Anolis sagrei: one gene and its partner. The protein of the gene in region 1 purifies or fractionates together with the protein of each later gene. This does not show direct contact. Links are inferred from orthologs where the notes say so. Each region holds a gene or a part of one and is shown on either strand. Other genes may lie near its edges.

The links. The genes of interacting proteins can lie anywhere in the genome.
Region 2: the proteins of CNOT1 (region 1) and TOB1 purify together in Homo sapiens (co-immunoprecipitation; 3 studies listed by BioGRID and IntAct, counting the BioPlex papers as one, with this or other methods). This does not show direct contact. The link is inferred for Anolis sagrei from reciprocal best matches to the Homo sapiens genes CNOT1 and TOB1.

Annotation. Positions count from the first base shown.
Region 1 is NC_090028.1:1,661,128-1,668,973, reverse strand, and holds the start of CNOT1 (CCR4-NOT transcription complex subunit 1), read left to right. Parts: upstream 1-4,826; 5' UTR 4,827-4,987; intron 4,988-7,846.
Region 2 is NC_090022.1:114,706,805-114,714,318, forward strand, and holds the start of TOB1 (protein Tob1), read left to right. Parts: upstream 1-4,499; 5' UTR 4,500-4,666; intron 4,667-7,514. UniProt on the Homo sapiens protein: Anti-proliferative protein; the function is mediated by association with deadenylase subunits of the CCR4-NOT complex. Mediates CPEB3-accelerated mRNA deadenylation by binding to CPEB3 and recruiting CNOT7 which leads to target mRNA deadenylation and decay.

The DNA.
Region 1 (7,846 bases):
GGATTTATGAAGCTTATAAGCCTGATTTATGAATATATAATATATGTTTGTATATAAGGCGGATTTATGAAGCTTATAAGCCTGATTTACGAATATATACGAATATATCTATATATATAGATATATTCGTATATAAGGCGGATTTATGAAGCCTATAAGCCTGATTTATGAATATATACGTATATATATATGTATATATATATATATATATGTTCGTATATAAGGCGGATTTATGAAGCTTATAAGCCTGATTTACAAATATATACAAATATATATCTATATATATATATTCGTATATAAGGTGGATTTATGAAGCCTATAAGCCTGATTTACGAATATATACAAATATATATCTATATATATATATATTCGTATATAAGGCGGATTTATGAAGCCTAAGCGCCTGATTTACGAATATATAGGAATATATATATGTATATATATATATGTTCATATATAAGGTGGATTTATGAAGCTTATAAGCCTGATTTATGAATATATAATATATGTTTGTATATAAGGCGGATTTATGATGCTTATAAGCCTGATTTACGAATATATACGAATATATATTATATATTCATATATAAGGCGGATTTATGAAGCCTATAAGCCTGATTTATGAAGCCTGTTTTCTAAAGATTTCCAGGAAATTGAATGTTGTGTGTGTATTATATATATATATATATATATATATATATATATACACACACACACGCCACGCCATTGGATATATATATATATATATATATATATATATATGATACACACACACACTTATTTATTTATTTATTTACAAGTTTTGTATACCGACCTTCTCACCTCTCTTGACCGGTTTCCAACCATAATATCACATACAGTCAATAAAACATCAAAATACATATTACAGTAAAACATTAAAAAAGCAATTACATTCAATAACTACAATGGTCAGTCGTCACACTAAAATCGTTGTTCATCATCCTCCATCCATATCTCAGTGTGCTGTCGCACGCTGGGCCTGTGCATTAGACTGTACACAGGACATAAATTCTGTGTGCCCAACGGGACGCCGGGGCTGCCTCAGATTAGAGGCCCTTAGATTCCCCCAAACAGAGTCTTTAGAAGGCTTAAAGTAAGTCCAACAAAGTTCTTTTATTAAGGAACAAACAGGTACTTTAACGGTTTTCTTAACAGTCTATAGGCTCTTTCAATCTTGTTCACTGGGAACAGGCACTATCTTCATAACTGTATACTAACTAATGGGGAAATGCTTAACTTCTAATCTGGGCAGTCTGTACTTGCCTCTGTTGACGTGGAGCCCCTGCACCCGGTACCAACTGCGTCTGGCTTCCGCGAGCGACCCTTGCCTCAACAGAGCTTTGTAGACCTCCAGGGAAAAAGAAGGAGTTCAGGTTGCTGTGATGGCCGGCTGGAGTCCCTCAGCCAAGCTGTGGCTGTATGTCTCCTGGGCAAGCCGTAGGGCTGTATAACCCCGGCCAAGCTGTAAAAGACGAAGCTTTTCTACAGGAGCCACTTCGTTCTATGTCCTGTGCGAAAGGCTTCTCTGTGAGAACTAACTCAAAATGGCTCCTGTTCCCTCCAAAACTCAAAAAGGGGCGGGACCAGGGAACCTAACTATTATTGACAGGTGGCTTGCCCTATGATTGCAGCCAAAAGGAGGCTGTCCAGACCTTGAATCGGTACTTGGCTGCTGTGTCGGACTGGATGAGAGCTAACAAATTGAAATTGAATCCAGACAAGACAGAGGTCCTACTGGTCAATCGTAAGGCCGAACAGGGTATAGGGTTACAGCCTGTGTTAGACGGGGTTACACTCCCCCTGAAGATGCAGGTTCGCAGCTTGGGAGGGATCCTGGACTCATCGCTGAGCCTGGAGCCCCAGGTCTCAGCAGTGGCCGGGAAAACTTTTGCACAATTAAAACTTGTGCACCAGTTGCGCCCGTACCTTGGGAAGTCGGATCTGGCCACAGTGGTCCATGCTCTTGTCACATCCTGACTAGATTACTGCAACGCACTCTATGTGGGGTTGCCTTTGAAGACTGCTCGGAAACTCCAACTAGTCCAACGGGAGGCAGCCAGATTGCTCACCGGAGCGGCGTACAGGGAGCATCCCACCCCCCTGTTGCGTCAGCTCCACTGGCTGCCGATCCAATTCCGAGCACAATTCAAGGTGCTGGTTTTGACCTACAAAACCCTATACGGTTCCGGCCCAGTGTATCTGTCCGAACGGATCTCCCTCTACATCCCACCTCAGAGTTTAAGATCTTCTGGGGAGGCCCTGCTCTCGACCCCACCACTGTCACAAGTGAGATTGGCGGGGACGAGGAGCAGGGCCTTCTCAGTGGTGGCCCCCCACCTGTGGAACTCACTCCCCGGGGAGATCAGATCAGCGACTTCCCTTCTCTCATTCAGGAAAAAGCTGAAAACCTGGATGTGGGACCAGGCTTTTGGAAACTCTGGCAGCTAAAAAGAAAGACCATAATGATGGGCAAATAATGACGAAACCTATTGGACTTATGGAACTCGAAACACTGACCATGAGATTGTTTATTGTTGTGCTATTGTGTTATATATTGATGTTTTTAATCTGTTAATTGCTTAATTATGGTAATCGTTTTATATATGTATGTATTTGGATAAGGGCATCGAATTGTGCCTTCTTTTTGTAAGCCGCCCTGAGTCCCCCCTCGGGGGTGAGAAGGGCGGGGTCTAAGTAGCAGAAATAAATAAATAAATAAATAAAAGAAGCCACCTATCTGCAGGGTCCCTGAAACTTAGGACTGCAATAAACATTAAATGCAAAAGCAAACAGAAATGGAGCTCCTGGCACAGCTGTACCAGCACACTCAGGGTATTGGCTCACTCGTCGAATGCCTGTCTTTCTGAAAGTCAGGATAGACGGGGTGGTTCTGATCTCCGGTGGGAGAGAATTCCAGAGTCGAGGGGCCACCACCGAGAAGCTTGCCATCTATCGGACAGGTGGCAAGCTATTCAACCTCAGCAGACTGAAAGCCAAAACCAAGGTTACAACAACAGCTGTTATAGAACTCCAGTATGCTGATGACAATGTCGTCTGTGCGCATTCAGAAGAAGATCTACAAGCCACTCTAAACACCTTCGCAGAAGCATACGAGAAGCTCGGCCTGTCACTGAACATTGAGAAAACCAAGGTGCTGTTCTAGCAGTCACCAGCCAACCCCTCTCCAATGCCAGAGATACAGCTTAATGGTGTAACATTAGAAAATGTGGACCATTTCCGCTCCCTTGGCAGCCACCTCTCCACCAAAGTCAACATCGACGCTGAAATACAACACCGCCTGAGCTCTGCGAGTGCAGCATTTTCCCGAATGAAGCAGAGAGTGTTTGAGGACCGGGACATCCGTAGGGATACTAAGGTGCTTGTCTATAAAGCTATTGTCCTCCCAACCCTGCTCTATGCCTGTGAGACGTGGACTGTCTACAGACGTCACATGCAGCTCCTGGAACGTTTCCATCAGCGCTGCCTCCGGAAAATCCTGCAAATCTCCTGGGAAGACAAGCGGACAAACGTCAGCGTGCTGGAAGAAGCAAAGACCACCAGCATTGAAGCGATGGTCCTCCGCCATCAACTCCGCTGGACCGGCCACGTTGTCTGGATGCCCGACCACCGTCTCCCAAAGCAGTTGCTCTACTCCGAACTCAAGAACTGAAAACGGGATGTTGGTGGACAGGAAAAGAGATTGAAAGATGGGCTCAAAGCCAACCTTAAAAACTCTGGCATAGACACTGAGAATTGGGAAGCCCTGGCCCTTGAGCGCTCCAGCTGGAGGTCAGCTGTGACCAGCAGTGCTGCAGAATTTGAGGAGGCACAACTGGAGGGTGAGAGAGAGAAACGTGCCAGGAGGAAAGCGCGTCAAGCCAACCTCGACCGGGACCGCCTTCCACCTGGAACCCAATGCCCTCCTCACTGCGGAAGAAGATGCAGAGCAAGAATAGGGCTCCACAGCCACATACGGACCCACAAGGAAACCCATGATGGAAGACCATCTTACTCGTCCAACGAGGGATCGCCTAAGTAAGTAAGTAAGTAAGTACCGAGAAGGCCCTGTCCCTCGTCCCCACCAGACGCGCTTGCGAGGCAGGTGGGACCAAGAGCAGGGCCTCTCCAGATGATCTTAATAATCTTGATGGTTCATAGGGGAGAATAGGTTTGGAGAGGTAAATAGGGCTGGGTATATATGGTATATATATATATATATATGGATAAATCAGGTGCATATTTATCCAACTAGCTCAAGAGGCCTTCCTTGGTGGCAGAAAAGTTATATTAATACATTACAATATTGCTATTATTACCCTTGACCCAAAATCAACAAGGAATGGCTCAGATCTAGAGTGATTCCCAAGCCTTTGGCCTCTAATTGTTTTGGACTACGATTCCCAGAATTCCTGCCCATTGATCTAACGCAGCTGAGGCTTCTGGGAGTTGGAGTCCGAAAGAGCCAAAGTTGTGCCCCATTCATTGAGGCGAAAGGACGGACTGGTGTTTTCCTCTGCTCCCGCCTCGAGACAACCGCGCTGTCATCCCATTGGCCGGATTCACAAACTCCCTCAGAGCCCTGCCTTCCGATTGGGCAGCGAGGACGTGAAGCAACCAATCCGAACCGGGAGGCGGGTTCTTTCCACCTTTTCCCCGCCTCCTCAGCGCTGAGGGCAAAAAAATAAAAGTGCTTTCCCTCAATGTCGGTCCGTGATTGGATGCCATCCGGAAGGCGGGGCTTAAGGAGCGCGAGGCCATTGGATCCCGCCGGTGGAGGCTCCTCCCCGTTGCCTCTTCCCGCCGCGGGGCAGGACGGGAAGAGAAAGGGCCGCGACGTGAGCGCGCGACTCCGGCCGCCATTTTGTTTCGGAGCGAGCGGAGAAGGAAGGAAGGAAGGAAGGGAGAGCGGCTCAGGAGACCGAGGAAGCGAGGGAAGGCAAAGAAGGCAGGCCCCGGCACGCTCGAGGTAAGCCCGGCCTCAGGGAGCGCCTCCCCCGCCTTCTGGAGGTACCACAGCCCGGTCTGGGAGTCAATCGAGGCCCCGGCGGGAGTGCAGGCCCAGGCCTCGCTCGCGGAAGCGCCTCCCGGGCGGGTTATTCGCCCTCCAGGGGGGTTGGACTACAACTCCCACCATTCCTAACAGCCGGTAGGCTGTTAGGAATGGTGGGAGTTGGAGTCCAAACCCCCCTGGAGGGCCCAAGTTGGAAGGGAAGGGAACAGGTCCCGAATTACGAACCAGGACGGCCCAGTAAGTGTTGGGATCTCGTATACAGGGGCATTTCTTCAGAACAGCTACAAATATCCATATCTATCTATCTCCATCTGTATGTGTGCCTGTATATTTATGTATATATACATATATCTATGTATATTCATATGTGTGTCAGGACAGCTCCAGCAACAAATACCCATATCTATCTCCATATGTATGTGTGTCTGTATATTTATGTATGTATATATATCCATATGCCTGGGTGTATCCATATGTCTGTATATATCCATGTATATATGTGTGTGTGTCTGTATATTTATGAATATATACATATATGTATATATATTCATATGTGCCTGTGTGTATCCACATGTCTGTATATATCTGTGTATATATGTGTGTGTGTGTCTGTATATTTATATATACATATATATATATATATATATATATTCATATGTGTGTGTGTATCCATATGCCTGTGTTTATCCATATGTCTATATATCCATGTATATATGTGTGTGTCTGTATATTTATGTATATACGTATATATATTCATATGTGTGTATGTATATCCATATGCCTGTGTGTATCCATATGTCTGTATATATCCGTGTATATATGTGTGTGTGTCTATATGTGTATATATATATGTGTGTATGTATATATATATACACACACACACATGCACACATGTATGTGTGTCTGTATATTTATGTATATATACATATATGTATATTCATGTGTGTGTGTTTATCCATATGCCTGGGTGTATCCATATGTCTGTATATATCCATGTATATATATGCGTGTGTGTATGTATGTATGTGTGTATGTATGTTTATGTATATATACATATATGTATATTCATGTGTGTGTGTGTTTATCCATATGCCTGTGTGTATCCATATGTCTGTATATATCCATGTACGTGTGTGTGTGTGTATGTATATATACACACATATGTATGTGTGTCTGTATATTTATGTATATATACATATATGTATATTCATGTGTGTGTGTGTATATCCATATGCCTGTGTGTATCCATATGTCTGCATATATCCATGTATATGTGTGTGTGTACACACACACACACACACACACACACACATAAACATGGATATACACATATACAGAGTCCACCTGGGGAGATAGGGTGGGTTACAAATAAAGTTGATGTCCAATATATACACAATCCTATAATCATAATAATAAAACTTTATTTATACCCCCATACCTATCTGTCTATCTATCTCCATATGTATGTGTGTCTGTATATATGTGTGTATATTTACGTATATATACATATATTCATATGTGTGTGTGTATATCCATATGCCTGTGTGTATCCATGTTTGTATATATCCATTTACGTGTGGGTGTATGTATGTATATATTATACACACACCAGTTGTACCCGCCACGCGTTGCTGTGGCCAACCTTCCCTCTTTCTCTCCTTCTTTCCCTCCTTCCTTCTCTCCCTCTTTCTTTCCTTCTCTTCTTCCTTCTCTACCTTTTTCATTCCTTTCCCCCTTTTCTTTCTCTTCTGCTGTCACTCTTTTCTTCCTTCTCTCCTTCTCTCCTTCTCTCCTTCTTTCTCTACATCTTCCCCCTTCCTTCCTTCCTTCCCTCTTTCCCTTTTTTCTTTCCTTCTCTCCTTCCTTCCTTCTCTAACTTCCCTTCCTTCCCCCTTTTTCTTTCCCTCCCTCTTTCTCTTCTTCCTTCCTTCACTCCCACTTTCCTTCCTTCCTGCCTGCTTCTCCTTCTCTTCTTCCTTCCTTCTCTATCTCTCTTTCCTTCCCCATTTTTCTTTATCTTCTGTCTCTCTTTTCTTCCTTCTCTCTTTCCTTCTTTCCTTCCCTCCTTCTTTATTATTAATATGTTGTATTACATTATAATATTATCAATATTATATGTATATCCAATATATTGTATTGTATATTATACGCACAGTGCAGGAGGCAAGATGGAACTGCCTTCATGGCCCCTCTCTTCATTCTGATCTCAGAGCAGCAGTTGGTCCAATATATATCCATCCATATATTTTTAACATTCATATATACATATATATATCCATATGTGTATATATACCAATATATATATCCCTATATGCCCATACACATATATCCTTCCATATATATTTATCTCAATGTTTGTGTGTGTGTATCTCTCTCTCTCTCTCTGGATAGCATAGGGAAGTGTGGACACCCCTGTGGTGTTTCCTTTGTTGTCTCTGCCCCTGTTTGGAAGATTTCACCGCATTTTCTGTCTATGTGAGAATTGGATTTTGGAAACTCTGGCTTGTTTTGGAGACAGGATTGGGGATAAAGCTTCAGGAGGAGGAAGCAAGCTTGTTTTCTCCTTCCCTGGAGACTAGGACATGGAACAATGGCTTCAAACTACAAGAAAAGAGATTCCATCTGAACATTAGGAAGAACTTCCTGACTGTGAGAGCCGTTCAGCAGTGGAACTCTCTGCCCCGGAGTGCGGTGGAGGCTCCTTCTTTGGAAGCATTTAAACAGAGGCTGGATGGCCATCTGTCAGGGGTACTTTAAATACAGGGGGTTTATTTATTATTTACTTTATTTCTATACCACTTTCCTCAGCCCTCA
Region 2 (7,514 bases), on another chromosome or scaffold:
ACAAACCACCTCTGTCTTGGAAACTCTGTGGTTGGTTTATCTTAGGATCACCATAAGTCAGAAACGACTTGGAGACACACAATAATGACAGCAACAACCACAAGCTCATCAGCTGACTTTAGTCACTGTGAATAATAAACATACAAACTCCCACTGAATAATAAACATACACAGAACTTAATAAAATAGTTTTCTTTGGCTGAATGAATGACATTACTGCCCTTTTCAGTCTTTTCCCACAATTATTTGATAATAAAATCCTTGGAGCAAGGGCCCTTCAAAAATTTTTGTTTGTTTTAAAACACTATTTAGTATGTTTTGTGTGTGTGTGTGTGTCAGGAGCAACTTGAGAAACTGCAAGTCACTTGTGCTGCAAGTCCCTTCTAGTGTGCTTTGAAGGGACTCGCTGGCATGAGCCTCCCTCCAGCCTCACATGCTCTCCCTCACCTGCAGATGCGCATCACGCTGCCATGCACTGAACACACCTGTTCTCCCCTACACACTTGGAGTCTCAGAAACTGCCCTCCCTTTGGCTGAGAGGCTGGCCAATTACAGCAGGAGGAGGGAGGAGGATTCACCATCTGTTTCCAAAAAGGAAAAGGACAGGCGGAGAGATCTTCAGCCTTCTCTGCCAAAAGGGTTCCTAAGACCATCAGAAATATATGTTTCTGAGGAACTTTGGTGACCCCCCCCCCCCAGCTTAAGAGGGCCCCTTGGTGGCACAGTGGGCTGAACCGCCGAGCTGCTGAACTTACTGACCGAAAGGTTAGTGGTTCGAATCCAGGGTTCAGGGTGAGCTCCATTAGCCCTAACTTCTGTCAACTTAGCAATTTGAAAACATACAAATGTGAGTAGATCAATAGGTACTGCTTCTGTGGGAAGGTAACAGCACCCCGTGCGGTCATGCACGCCACATGACCTAGAAGGTGTCTATGGACAATGCTGGCTCTCCGGCTTAGAAATGGAGATGAGTACCACCCCTCAGAGTTGAACAACCTTTCGGTCAGCAAATTCAGCAGCTCAGCAGTTTAATCTGCTGCACAACCAGGGGGTCCCTGCCACATATTAGTCTGAAATCTTTTGAAGGGTGGTCCGCCACCCCTACCCTCTTCTTTTCTGTGTTCTCTCATGTTTTGCCTATATCCTGCAATCTGAAACTGACCCTACCACCAAAAAAGGGCAAAGTATTCCTCCAGAATACTGAGTAGCCAATTGAGTGGGGCCTAGGAAGCCAATCATGTGTTGTTTCTACCTATGCATGTATCTGAATAATCTAGATATGCACACACACACACACACACACATATTTCTATACTACCAAATGATATATAGCATATTTTCTATAGAGAAAATATATACAGTAGGAGGTACATAATTCTCGGGTGGGAGACAGCAGGGGAAACCATGTGCTGTAGGCTGTGTTTGAGAGGAAGGAACTGAGGATTGTGCTCATAAGGGTTGCCATAAATGGACAGGAGACCTGAAGGTGGCACATTAATATACACAGGGTCGATGTATATCGGGGAATTAACGCAGTTTTGACCCTATCCTTGAACCGCTATGGAATCCTGGGAGTTTTAGAAGCCTTTTCTGCAAAGAGGGTTGGGGCTTCCTCAAACTACAACTCCCAGGTTCCCACCAAGGCATCCAGCCTTGGCAGTTCAAATGAGGTCAGACTGCACTGACTCCACAGGACTTCTTCCTTCACTCCTCCTGCAGCCAGCTGGAAAGCGTGCGCGCTCCCGTCAAGAAGAGGGAGGCACGGGCACGCGCGCAAGGCAATGACGTTTCGCGTTCCCTTCTTCCCCCCCCCCCCTCCTCCTCCTCCTCCTTCCCTCCCTCCCTGTTTTTTGCCCTCCTCCCACCTTCTATTGGCTCCGCCCTCGTGAAACACCAGACGCAGGTTGGAGAGCTTTTTAAGATTGACAGATTTGGGGAGCCAATGGCGGAGGGGGGCGGGGCGAACTGATAACTCTGGGGTATTACTCAGAGCCTCTCCCCCCTTCCCCCTAGTGCCCTCCCCATTAGTCTCCTTGTGTAGTAGGAGAAAAAATAATAATAAGCTGGATCTCAATAATAACAACTGTGCTTGTTTCCTTTCCTACCAGACATGTTGTTGTTGTTGATGTTGTTGTATTATTATTATTATTATTAGACACAGCAGGTGATTTTCCCTTCAAACCCAAAACAAGGGGGCACCGATCCTCTCCTCCTTCAAAAGAATAGAGACAACACCAGAAGGGGAGTCCATTTGGTGGAGGAGGAGCAAGATTCCTCAGAGAGAGAGAGAGAGGGAGGGAGGATCACAGGAACGCAGAGCATCCAACACAACAAATAGGCAACTTCTCTTTGGCAACTCCTCAGTGCTACCGTGCTCTTGTTCATTGGCCTTGGATTGGTTGCCCAGTGCAGTTTTGTTCTACTCCTGCAGCAAGGCAAAACGCAAGGAGTACCAAGATATTATACACTATGTCTTGTAGTAAGTTTGTTGTGCTTGGCTTCCCTCCTCCTCCTCCTCCTCCTCGGGGAAATGCTCCCCACCCTCGTGACAGCGGGGAGGGATCCGAGAGTGGCTGAGAGGCAGGGCAGGCTTCTTTTTTCCGTGAGAAACTGCAAGTCGCTTCTGGTGTGAGAGAATTGGCCGTCTGCAAGGATGTTGCCCAGGGGAGCCCCGGAGGTTTTGAGGTTTTACCATCCTTGTGGGAGGCTTTTCTCACGTCCCTGCATGGGGAGCTGGAGCTGACAGAGGGAGCTCACCCGTGCTCTCCCCAGATTCGAACTTGTGAGCTGTCCGTCTTCAGTCCTGCCAGCACAAGGGTTTAACCCACTGCGCCACTGTAGGGCGGGCTACTACACGTAGGGAGGGAGGAAGAGGCGCCATAGGTCGCTGGTCACTCCTTGGCTCACTCCTATGGAATCCTGGGAGTTGTAGTTTGGGGAGCCTCTTGGTTGCCTTCAAAGGGTTCTTGAATCCGTGGGTACATAGTGGTCGGTGCTCTTTAGTTTTTACTGTTTGGTCTCCCAGAACAACAACTCACTCTTAATGATCCGCTGTGCGACTGGGGATAATGGAAACCGCAGTCCAAACAGCACTGGTGGGCTCTGAGGTTGGGGAAAAGGTTCAAGGACATTTTAAGGTCAGGCCTCATATCCGCAAGCCTTGTGTCTCAATTCAGACCCCTCTCTCCTGACTAAATAATAAATTGCAGCCTTCCAGATTATACTGTATCACAACTCCCATCACACGGTGACTAGTGCTGATGGGAATTGTGATACAGTATCATCTGGAAGGCTGCAATTTATTATTTAGTCAGTACTCGGAGAGTCACGTAAAATGACATTTTTATGTGTGTCAGGAGTGACTTGAGAAACTTCCAAGTCGCTTCTGGTGTGAGAGAATTGGCAGTCTACAAGGAGGTTGCCCAGGGGGCCGGATGTTTTGATGTTTTACCCTCCTTGCGGGAGAGGCTTCTCTTGTGTCCCCGTATGGGGAGCTGGAGCTGGCAGAGGGAGCTCAACCCGCTCCCCTCAGATTCGAACCGTGGACGGTCAGTAATCCTGCCTTTTAACCCACTGCGCCACCGGGGCCTCCAAATGTCATGGTGGGCGGCATTCGGCCAAGGGGCCTTGACACATGAGGATATAATACAAGAAGCAGGAAATGCCTTCCAGGCTGCCCTCCTGTCTCCGTCCTTTGGCTGCAGAAAGGGGTGGGGCATAACGTGAGCAAGCACTCCCCTCCGCCTGAGCGCCTCTCTGCTGACAGGATTCCGAATCACTCCCCCCGATGACGTAGTAGAGCAGAGAGCATTCTGGGAGACGTAGTCTTCACGCGGTGAGGGAGAAGGGAGTGGAGGGAGGGGCGTGGTTCCTGGAATGACGTAGGGGTTGACGTCACCGAAAGCCCCTTAGCAGCAGGGGGTGGGGTGGGGGGATGTCGAGAAGGGCTAATGCTCCCTGGCGCCGGGCGTGAAGGGGAGCCGGCGGCGGGGGGGAGCAATATGGCGACGGAAGGGGGTTGCGAGGAGACCCAGGAAATATGTGCTCTGAGGGAGCAGTCTTAGCAGCAGAGATTCAGGGCACGGCTTAAGCCAGCTGTCCCTTATAAACGGGCGGGGCCATGGTGGACACAGTAGGCGTTTTCCCCATTCCTTTTTCAGAAAGTACGCAAGCAGCTCCTAGGGAGGGAGGAGGAAGGAAGGCCTCAGCATTTTGTCCTTTGCGCCTTGAAAGAGCACCACACGAACCCCCTGGAAGCAGGAGGATGAAGAAAGGGAAGGGGGGGGGCTCGGTGGGAGGGGCTCGGAGCAGGTGCGCGAGGGGGGGACGCGGGGGAGGCGGGGAATGAGTCTTATTGGCAGGATAGAGAGGCCAATGGGGAGCAGGGACTAGGACAGGGGCCGAACGATTGGCAGGCGAGTGGGTGGGGCTGACGAGGCCTAGGGGCGGGGCCCGGAGGGGGCGGGGCGTGAGAGGGCATATATAGGGGCGCGGCGGAGGCTCGGGCGCTACAAGAAGGCGTCTCACAGCTGCTGAGGCGGAGCGCGCTGTCTCTGGTCCCGGGGCGTGAGAAGCGCAGTCGACCCCTTTTTTCTCCACCCCGGCTCGCTGGGTTATGGGGTTCCGACGCTGAGCCTCCCTCTCCTTTGCACTATATAGGCCCCGGGTGAGTGTCGCGAGAGAGAGAGGGAGAAGGGGGGGGCGGCCTGGAGATGGGGATGATGGAGGCGGCTTACCTCACCCTTTCCCCTTCTTGGGCTCCCCTCAGACTCACACAGCGGGCGAGGGTTCGAATTGAGTGAGGGGCGGGGGTGGGGGAAGGAAGGGAGCGGGGAGGCCTCGCCTGTGGGTGTCGGCCGAAGGATTTGACAGGACGGGGCTGCCTGAGGGTGTTGACACGGCCCTGCGAGGGGAGGGGGGAATTGGAGGAGGAGGGGGGACTGGTAGAACGGGAGGGAATGGAGGCGGGGAAACCTCTCTCTCTGTGTGTGTGTGTGTGTGTGGAGGCGACGTCGTGGGCCCAAGGCTTTCCTCTCACGGCAGGGAAAGGCGATCTCTGGGCCGGACCCGCTCGCGCCTCTCCCCCTCCCATAGAACTCCTCGGAGGGAGGGATGGAGGGGGAAAAGGGGGCGGGGCTGCTCCAGGGGCCTCGCGCAGCCCCTCCCCCGGAGGAGGAGGAGGAGGAGGGCGGCCACTTGGATGGCGGAGGGAGGGAGGGAGGGGCGGCGGAGGAGCCTGTCAGGGAGGCGAGTTGGCCAAGGAGGAAAGGAGGAGGGGGGGGGATGGGTGGCCACAGCCCCACGGAGGACAGAGAGGGAGGGCTTAACTGGTGAGCTGGTGGATTGACAAGATGGGGAAGACGCCTCCAAAGGTGGGGATGTCTAGCTAGCCCTGAGAGGAAGGGGCACTGCCTCTCAAAGCCCCCCTCTCTTCTGAGAAACTGAGAAAGGATTTTGAAAGAAGGGGGGCGAATAAGGTAAACACAGCGTCCCTGATCTAGGGAGGTAAACACTGCTCCTCTTGTGCCGAAGGCGATCTAGGGGGAGGCCTCAGCCTTCAGGAGAGGGGAGGATTGGGCCTGATTTCTGAGGAGAAAGAGAGGGATGCCCTCCTAGACAGGCCTCTTTTTCTTTTTCCCCTGAAGCTGAGCAGCACTAGTGGGATTCATTATCTAATGCAGAGGTTTTCAACCTGTGGGTCCCCAGATGTTTTGGCCTTCAACTCCCAGAAATCCTAACAGCTGGTAAACTGGCTGGGATTTGTGGGAGTTGTAGGCCAAAACGCCTGGGGACCCACAGGTTGAGAACCACTGATCTAGTGTGATGAGGTAGACAATAACAACAATTCTTTATTGATTAGTCAATTAGTCAATGGGTAGACTCTCCCCATCACACTAGAGCAGGCATGAGCAAACTTGGGCCCTCCGGGTGTTTTGGACTTCAACTCCCACAATTCCTAACAGCTGGTAGGCTGTTAGCAATTGTGGGAGTTGAAGTCCAAAACACCCGGAGGGCCCAAGTTTGCCCATGCCTGCACTAGAGAATGGATCCACTTTAAATCTGGTTTCTTCCTCCTGCAGAATTATTTAGATATGAGCCTTTAACAGCCTCACTAAACTACAAACCCCAGAATTCTGCTGGAGGCCGAAACCGGATTTAAAGTGGATTCTTTCTCTCGTGTGATGAAATAATCCGGATTGGGCCTGGTTCGGGAGGTGGAAGAGGAGAGAGAGGCCCTCCTAGACATGCCCCTTTTCTCTTTCCCCTGAAGCTGTGAGCAGCACTCTAATGAGACCCAACAGCCCGGTTATGTAACACTGTGGACTCTGCTTGAGGTCCCTCCTCGTTTCCCTGGCCCCCCTCGCTGCGTCACCACTGCCATGATTAATGCAATTAACAGGTTTAATTCCTTAAAAAGGGGGGCCTTGCTCAGTGTGGGAAATATTTTGACATGTTTAAGATTATTTTGTTTTGTGACCTTTTTCCACACTAGGGAAGGGAAAGAGTAAGGGTGACAATAATAACTTCCAGCATCTTTGAAAGGTATTATTTTTACTTGCATTGCTGGAGAGGTCAAACAGATGGATTAATAAATGATTTTTGTAGTTACCTATAGCTCCCCCAATCAGATCATCTGTACATATGTGTTCCATTTGTAAATACCTTTGTTTGCCCTTGATCTTTCCTTATCCCCACCCAGTGCTGATCCAGCAATCATTTAAAGGTCGTCTTATCGCACAGCTGGTAGTTCTCTTACCCAGTAAAGAGAGGAAATGAAAAGAGAAAAGGTTTTAGAAGCAGGGATAGCCTTGGAAAGCCAACCATTTGAGACAAGGAAATAATTTCCACTCACTTTATTGTGTCCTTGCTTACAGGTTTATAAATTTATTTAGATTTAAGTCTGTTTTATTTCTACAGAAGGACTGTTTGAAACCATAGTAAATGGGAGAAAATATAACTTGATGTTCAAAAAAGAAGAAAGCTCATATTTTGAGCCTTGTATTCTGTATAATATACTTCAGTGGCCATTATTCTTTGTCAATTTAGCTTTTTTATTTTATATTAACATTCTAGAGGAATTGGTTTAATGTTAATATCACTGAAATCAAAAGCTCTCATTTGTAATAATTGTATATGACTGATTTCCCTTTTAAATTATTCAGTACACTGATGCATTTACCATATTTTTCTCCTAAAGAATCTGTATTAGATTATTTTAATGGTTGTGTGGTTAGAATGTATTGTTTGTTGGATTATTTCCAGTGGAGTTTGGTGTTATGTATGCACATTGTGAAAATAATTCTGGGATATGTAGATTTATTATAGCTCCCCACTTTGGAAACAAAATGCAGGAATACTGGTATTTGCCTTTTCAAATTGGAGCAGTTTTAAAATTCTGCGAATACTGGCAATATCTGGCATTAGAAAGTTACACAAGTAAATGCTTTGAAAAATCTAAAAGATTTGAAAATAAATGTCACAACTGGGTTCTCTAAATCACCAAAAATAGGATA